Linked DNA regions of Schizosaccharomyces pombe. Each later gene encodes a partner of the first gene's protein in a complex. Each region holds a gene or a part of one and is shown in the gene's direction. Other genes may lie near its edges.

Region 1 (3,755 bases):
AAAAAATAAGCGAATATCTTCAACCAATCAGGATAAACAGCGATAAAACGAAAACGGGGAAGTCATTAAAAAATGGCGGTTAATGTCAACAATGAACAGTTTGAAAGCATAGAATTCCAGATTTGAATTGAGGGAAACGGAGCACTACAAAGATGTATAAATACAGGCATTCTGTCCCAGAAGAAAACCAGAATTCGTTCAAGTCTTCTATTTTACATATTCACTCTTTCTATTTCTTATTCTTCACTCTACAAGAACTCGCGTTGGGTGTGAATTTACATCCCTCTTGTCAACAAACCTGCTCCGTTAGCTAATTTTCTGTAAATTTGCTTCGATCTTTCTTATTCTAATCTTTTAATCCTTTTTCTTTTGGAATTTTGCCTTTTTAAACTCTCCCTTTTTTTGAATCAGTCAACAAATTATAATTTTCTTCTTTTATTTGCTAGTTCATCGCTTAAACTATCTTTCTTTTTCTAACTTATCAACGAAATTTTATTTTTTTCACATACATTATGAAGATCACCGCTGTCATTGCCCTTTTATTCTCACTTGCTGCTGCCTCACCTATTCCAGTTGCCGATCCTGGTGTGGTTTCAGTTAGCAAGTCATATGCTGATTTCCTTCGTGTTTACCAAAGTTGGAACACTTTTGCTAATCCTGATAGACCCAACTTGAAAAAGCGCGAATTCGAAGCTGCTCCCGCAAAAACTTATGCTGATTTCCTTCGTGCTTATCAAAGTTGGAACACTTTTGTTAATCCTGACAGACCCAATTTGAAAAAGCGTGAGTTTGAAGCTGCCCCAGAGAAGAGTTATGCTGATTTCCTTCGTGCTTACCATAGTTGGAACACTTTTGTTAATCCTGACAGACCCAACTTGAAAAAGCGCGAATTCGAAGCTGCTCCCGCAAAAACTTATGCTGATTTCCTTCGTGCTTACCAAAGTTGGAACACTTTTGTTAATCCTGACAGACCCAACTTGAAAAAGCGCACTGAAGAAGATGAAGAGAATGAGGAAGAGGATGAAGAATACTATCGCTTTCTTCAGTTTTATATCATGACTGTCCCAGAGAATTCCACTATTACAGATGTCAATATTACTGCCAAATTTGAGAGCTAAACTCATTTTATCTTCATATTTTTTTTATTTTCTAGTATGTTAGCCCACACATCTTTACAAAGCCATGTGAAGCAATTTTTTAAATTAATTGCTATTTTCGATCTATTATTTTACCATACGATCTGTATTCCTATTCGCAATAATATTTTTAATTTTCATCTTAGTCTTCATATTGTAAAAAAAAAAAAAAAAAAAAAAAAAAAAAAAGAAAAAACGTATAGTAGTTACAATATTACTGAAATCTACAGTACTATACTTCTTTCAGTTGCTTTGTTTTTTAAAGTTAAATAAAACATCAATTTAAAAACTGACTATTAAACCACATGATTTGCGGATTGCTTAAGTAATAATAAAAATGAACACTACCAATTGTGTTAAGCGATAAAATTAGTCATATCCCATATAAGAAGAAAGCACTGAAGTTTCAATTGAAATGCGGAAAGCTACTGCTCATTTAAAATGCCTAGGACCTGCACAAGCATAGCAATGTAAAGGAGCTGCACTTGAAATATATATGACAGTTGAGATCCGCAAAGCATTGTTAGAATATATAAAATTTTATTCCAAAACTTTTTACTGTACTTCCGCATGTACTGTTGAACATTCAACTTTGTAAGAGACAGTAATGTCGTGAATATATTTTTCAATAATAAATTTTAAACTGAGACCATTGAACGAAGGGATCATTTGAGTTCATAAATTTTAAAATTTGAACAGAAAAGGAAGGCCTTTGACGATATCTCTTCTTTATTTGTTTTTCTTCGTCTTACCTTGCCCTATTTATGGTCTTCTTAAACATCAAATTACACCTTAGATAGTAGCTCTTTAATGATTACTCAAATTGTCTTTTATTACTAGGCCCGGAGTCTGTACAATCTAACTAGTTTTCTAAAAATATGAGAGATCCAACTGTGTATTATATCTAAACACCACCACTCCACTCTTTTACAAGAAAGCCTAATACTTATATTCAGAACGGTTTTAAGCTCTCTGATTACTGATAGAGAACTGAATTACAAAACCAAATTGTCCACTTCATTATTGAGCTGGTTTCTGTCTCATCTGTTGATATCTGAGATTTTGCATCATGGTATACATACTTGGAGTGGCTGTAAACGACGATAAACCTGTGCGGTTTGCTCTACTTTCTTTTTATGGAATTGGACATGCCAAGGCTGAAGAAATATGCGCAAAATTATCATTTCACAATACGTTAAGGGTTCGAGAGCTGACAAATGTTCAATTGACAACGTTGTCGCAACTGCTATCAGGAATGACTATTGAAGGTGACTTACGGCGTCAACGGAATGCTGATATCTCAAGATTGGTGAATATCCGATGCTATCGGGGAATGAGACATGTAAACGGGTATGAAAAGATCATTTGTGAACGTAGCTGTCTTCGACAACTTTTTCAACTTAACTAATGAATATTTCAGGTTACCCGTTAATGGACAGAACACTCGGACGAATGCAAAGACTGCTAAGAAGCTAAACAAAGTCCCACGACGAGGTTATATGACACTGTCGCCCGCTTCTACAAGGCCCATCACATGGAGTTTTTGTCTACCGAGAATGGTGTCTGTCTTTCAAAAATTAAAACATATTCATTAGCTAAAATAACGTTTATGAAATCAAACTTCACTTATCATGTACACTTCGTATTACCTCGATTTGCTTGATTCTGTTAAAAAACCAACAACCGGGATACGAAAATGAAAACGTATTCTATTTTTATTGTGTGAGAGAAAAAGCTCTCGCCTCGTAATTTCCTTCTAATATACAACAGCACTCAAAAAAAATACAATAAATCGAAAAATTGCATTGAGGCGATACTTACTGTGTCCTTTCAGTAGTAGGTACAGTTTGCTTCCTTTGCTGCAACTGATGAATTTGTTCAGGTGTTAGTTTTAAAGAACTGGAAACAGCGTATGGCTGAAGCCTGGGGACCATTCTACCAGCTATAGGCGAGACACCCGCTGATGAATTGTTACTACTATTTTGTGAAGCAGCTACAGCTTGAAAGGCTGCTAGTTGCTGGTTGTGTTGTTGTGCACCAGCAGCAACAGCGGCGTTTTGCGGCCGTAGAGCCCTGTTTTGTGATTGCAATTGTGCAAAGTTTCTCTGAGCCTGTATTTGCTGTATTTGTGCCTCACGCTCAGATTTCAAACGAGAAAGTTCGAGAGGGGAAGGAACCGGCGGCAATTTTTCAGTTGAAGCTGCAGATGGTGCAATCGCTCTCTTGGTCATAGTGGGTTTTTTAGCAAACTCTCTCTTTTTAAGGATCTTTCGTATAGCTTCAAATATAGTAATGGGTCGGTAATGTCTTGATACAGTTGGCAATAAGAAGTAAGAATTATGTTTAATCAAATGGTTAGGTGTTCCTTCATCCCGTAAGGATAGATGTTGGCTAACTTTATCCGAATGTCTTAAGGATTCATCTAATTTCTGCTGAGCGAGTCTTGCATGGGAGCCAGTCAATTGGACATTGGCGGCTCTGGGATCCACTTGAATCCATCTTTCAAAACAATCCCACGCAGTCCGCTTCTCGGCAAGCGGTATGTACAAACCTGGTGGTGTTAACCTACTGGCAACAAATTCCCAATTAAAGGAATATCGTCGCAAGAGTAATAAAAGG
Region 2 (3,755 bases), on another chromosome or scaffold:
GTTTCATATTCAGATCACTCCTGATGCTGTCGAGATTTTGAAGAACGTTTTACGTCGCACAGTTGAGCGTCAAGCAGTTGAAACCCATATTGTTGCCAAACCTGGTGAGTTTTGTGTCGGCTATTAAGGGATTTTGCACATGTCACCTAAACTCTAAGCTTTATTTTCTATTTAAATCTTCTTTCTGCTTTATCAACTAGGCAAATTTTCTCGTCGACGCTCAAATTATTTTTACAGTAGTACATTCACTTGTCAAAGTTGACTGACATCTACTATTGCCTTTCAGTTTTTTGTATGAGTATGTAGAGTTATGTGCATTTCTTTCTTTTATGATTTTTTTTCATCGCTTTAGAGTGGTATTTAGTAGAACGTAGTTGTGTTGAAACGTATTCATAGTTATGTCTTATATAACGGTTGTTACATCATATTTAAACTGTCAGAATCAGCTCCTTTGCAATTTATTTTACACAGCTATTAGCAATTCGCTTCGCTTATCTTAGATACTTGTGAGGCACAGACTGTCAAAATTTGTTGAAAAGAAGCTGAAACAGTAATTTGCGCGTATGAAAACGTAAGTATTTATGTTTAACACCTAATATAATCGGCATCGTTGGAAATTCATCTTCGTAAAATTCGGTCAATTACCATCGAACTTCGACGTTGTCCTTTTGAAGCAACATTTAAAGGCCTATACCTCGCCAAACTCCTTTTTCATGTCATCTGTCAGTCTGCCATGAATTTCTCAAAAACATTACTAAAAAATTCAAAAGACGGGATTTCAAGTGTAATATTTTCACCCTCTGTCAAAAACGAACTAATTGCAGGGTGCTGGGATGGTAGCTTACTGCATTATCAAATCTCGGAAAATCCCGAACTTTTAGGGAAATACGATTTATCAAGTCCTATTCTTTCTTTAGAATATACAGATGAAAAAACTGCTTTAGTAGGAAATTTAGATGGGACAGTTACTACCCTCGATCTTAATACGCGAAACCATGAGTTTTTAGGAAACCACGGTAAGGGGGTATCGTGCATTTCTAAGTTGCGTTTGGAAAGTAAGATATATATTTTATTAGCCAGCTATTCTATTAACATTTTAGACTGTTTCATTAGTGGGTCTTGGGACAAATCATTTCGTGTTTGGGATGTTCGCGTAAAGCAACCTGTCGAGGGACAGGATATAGGAAAAAAAATTTTTGCAAGTAGCTCGAGAGATAATATATTGGTTCTAGGCTGTTCAGAAAGAGAAAATTTGGTGTACGATATTCGAAATTTAAAACTTCCATTTCAGCGACGTCCTTCTAGTTTTAAGTATATGACTCGAAGTGTTTGCTGTAACCAAAATTTTGAGGGATTCGTTTCTTCCAGCATTGAGGGAAGGACATCTGTTGAATATATTAACCCGTCTCAGGAAGCGCAAAGCAAAAATTTTACCTTTAAATGCCATCGGCAGATACAAAAGGACTACGATATTGTTTATCCAGTTAACGACCTAAAATTTCATCCGATTCATCAAACATTGGCAACTGCTGGGGGAGATGGCGTTGTTGCGTTTTGGGATATACAAGTCCGAAAACGATTAAGAGTGTTAAATCCTTCAAAGATCAATATATCATCTATTTCTTTTAATGTTGACGGAAGCATGCTTGCAATTGCCACTTGTGCTCAAGAAGAAGCCGCTGGTAATATCTATGTTCATGCTTTGGAATCCAACTTTGCAGCTCCAAAGTTAAAGTCATGAAATCGCTCATCAAAAAGCTTCATCCATGTAAAATCTTATGCAGATTCTTTTACTGCATACATATGAAATTTATATTATTTGAAGCACTCCTATTTAATGTTGTAAATGTTCAATATTTCCTCAGTGCTTCAAAGTGATAATTACGGTATTTATTATTTTTTATTCCACTATATATATTAAGTTAATAAGCAATTAATATAAACGCAAGACCATATTTATATAAAGAACGGGTTACGATTAAAAATACTTAATATAAAAACAATGTGACACTATTTGGTAGAAATTATCTAATTTACTTTGTTTCTCTTATTCACATTGTTTATAGTTATTAAAATAACTATAATTATACAGATCGCTAGCGCAGTTCGTAATTTATTTTGACTATTTCATCTACTGAGAATACACTCACAATTTGAACACAACAGAGAAGCCTTCTAAACCAGAAATAAAAAATATGAGGGCTTTGGGCCACCTGAAGCATAAAGCATTTCGTGATTTATTATGTAGGAGACTTTTTGCTGAACACGAAGTTGAACGTCAAAGCAATCTCTATATATATAGAAATCCTGAGCTACCTCTTCGGGTGCGTTTAGAAGCCAAAAAGCGGATTGAGGCTTTACCGACTAATGCACATCCTACAAAAATAAAAAATCGCTGTATTGAGACAGGTAGAGGCCGAGGTGTATTTCGTGCGTTTGGACTTGCAAGGGTACGATTATAATGTCATATAAATGCATTTTTGATGCTGACTATTTCAGTTTCCTTTTCGACTTAAAGCACTAGCTAATAAATTACCCGGAGTTCGGTAAGAATAAGCATTTTTACTTTTGTCACTAATCCATTCAGCAAGGCATCATGGTAATAATCGTTGTTTGTATTTCAATCCATGATAAGCGTTATTGAAATAAAAAGCTTTAATTATCTTCCGTGAATCCATCATGTTTATTATTAGCTAATATTTATTCGCCGTTTAAATGAAGTACAATTATTTGCATGATTACATTCCAAAACTGAATATTTACATTATCAATTGTTTATGATTGCCAATAGTTAGGTTCAGGTTCTGTGAGCGGCCTATCCATTATACTTTTAGTAGATATAGAACTGGTATTGTTGTTCTCTGTATCTTCATCAGGTGTACTATTTTTTTCGTTGTCTTCCTCTTGAGAAGTATCATCCGTTTCTTCATCTTCACTTTCACTGGTTGATGTTTCATATTCTCCTTCAGAACTTTCAGAAGTTTCACTAGCATAAAATTCTTCAAGCGTTTGCTGGCCAACAAATTTTGGACGGTTAATTGCGTTAGTATCTCCAAAATCACGTTTAAAGTTATCAGAAGATAATGCTTTCACACCCGGTGAATTGTTTGAATAAATATTTCCCGTATGAGGGTTTATTGGCAAAACATCCTTGATACCTTCTCGGACAGAATCAGGCGGTAAATCAGAGACATCAGCCCAGTTAGGGATTGGCTCATATCCCATCACGTCTTCATTCAAACATAAACTAGCGGTACCAATGCAGTAGTCCCGAGAAGCAATAATTTCTTTTTGACTATTCCCCTTGCTTTCCAATACGATGCGCCTAGTAAATTCAGAACTCGGTGTACTAGCTAGTTCTTTGTAAAACCTAGCTCTATCTCGTAAATCGTAACTCATGTCAAAGTGTATCAAAGATAAAACATAATTAAAAAGTAGTGACACGACATCATCTCTTGACTCTAAATCGTTTTGCTTCTCTTCAGAATGAGACAAAACATATAGTCTTACCGATAATTCGAGAATTTGATACTTCACTTCTAATGTCTCATCAGCAAAAGTTTTAACAGCAATGCGTAGCACATCAGGGACTAGTCGCGGTATGATTAGTATATGCTCCGAAATAAGCCATAGTGTAACGGATTTGGCCCGCGGTACTTCCAAAGTTTCATACGTTGCAGCTAAATACTGCAGATATATTTCTTTAGGATCATTATGAATGAGAAGCCGAAGTGAAGAGGCAGCTTCTGTCACGA

The links.
Region 2: sws2 (region 1) and mrp2 share a complex: the UniProt entries of both Schizosaccharomyces pombe proteins name them as parts of the mitochondrial small ribosomal subunit.

Annotation. Positions count from the first base shown.
Region 1 is NC_003421.2:983,442-987,196, reverse strand, and holds the start of sws2 (mitochondrial 37S ribosomal protein uS13m), read left to right. Parts: upstream 1-2,042; 5' UTR 2,043-2,205; coding exon 2,206-2,486; exon of another isoform or gene 2,487-2,556; coding exon 2,557-2,731; 3' UTR 2,732-2,953; coding exon of another isoform or gene 2,954-3,755. Other genes in the region: P-factor pheromone Map2, read left to right, coding at 513-1,118; vid21 (NuA4 histone acetyltransferase complex scaffold subunit Vid21/Eaf1), read right to left, coding at 2,954-3,755. UniProt on the Schizosaccharomyces pombe protein: Component of the mitochondrial ribosome (mitoribosome), a dedicated translation machinery responsible for the synthesis of mitochondrial genome-encoded proteins, including at least some of the essential transmembrane subunits of the mitochondrial respiratory chain.
Region 2 is NC_003424.3:2,504,285-2,508,039, reverse strand, and holds mrp2 (mitochondrial 37S ribosomal protein uS14m), read left to right. Parts: upstream 1-2,155; 5' UTR 2,156-2,195; coding exon 2,196-2,450; exon of another isoform or gene 2,451-2,499; coding exon 2,500-2,546; exon of another isoform or gene 2,547-2,587; coding exon 2,588-2,603; 3' UTR 2,604-2,775; downstream 2,776-3,755. Other genes in the region: threonine aldolase Gly1, read left to right, coding at 1-127; mitotic spindle checkpoint WD repeat protein Bub3, read left to right, coding at 734-1,055, 1,101-1,741; AP-3 adaptor complex subunit Apl6, read right to left, coding at 2,776-3,755. UniProt on the Schizosaccharomyces pombe protein: Component of the mitochondrial ribosome (mitoribosome), a dedicated translation machinery responsible for the synthesis of mitochondrial genome-encoded proteins, including at least some of the essential transmembrane subunits of the mitochondrial respiratory chain.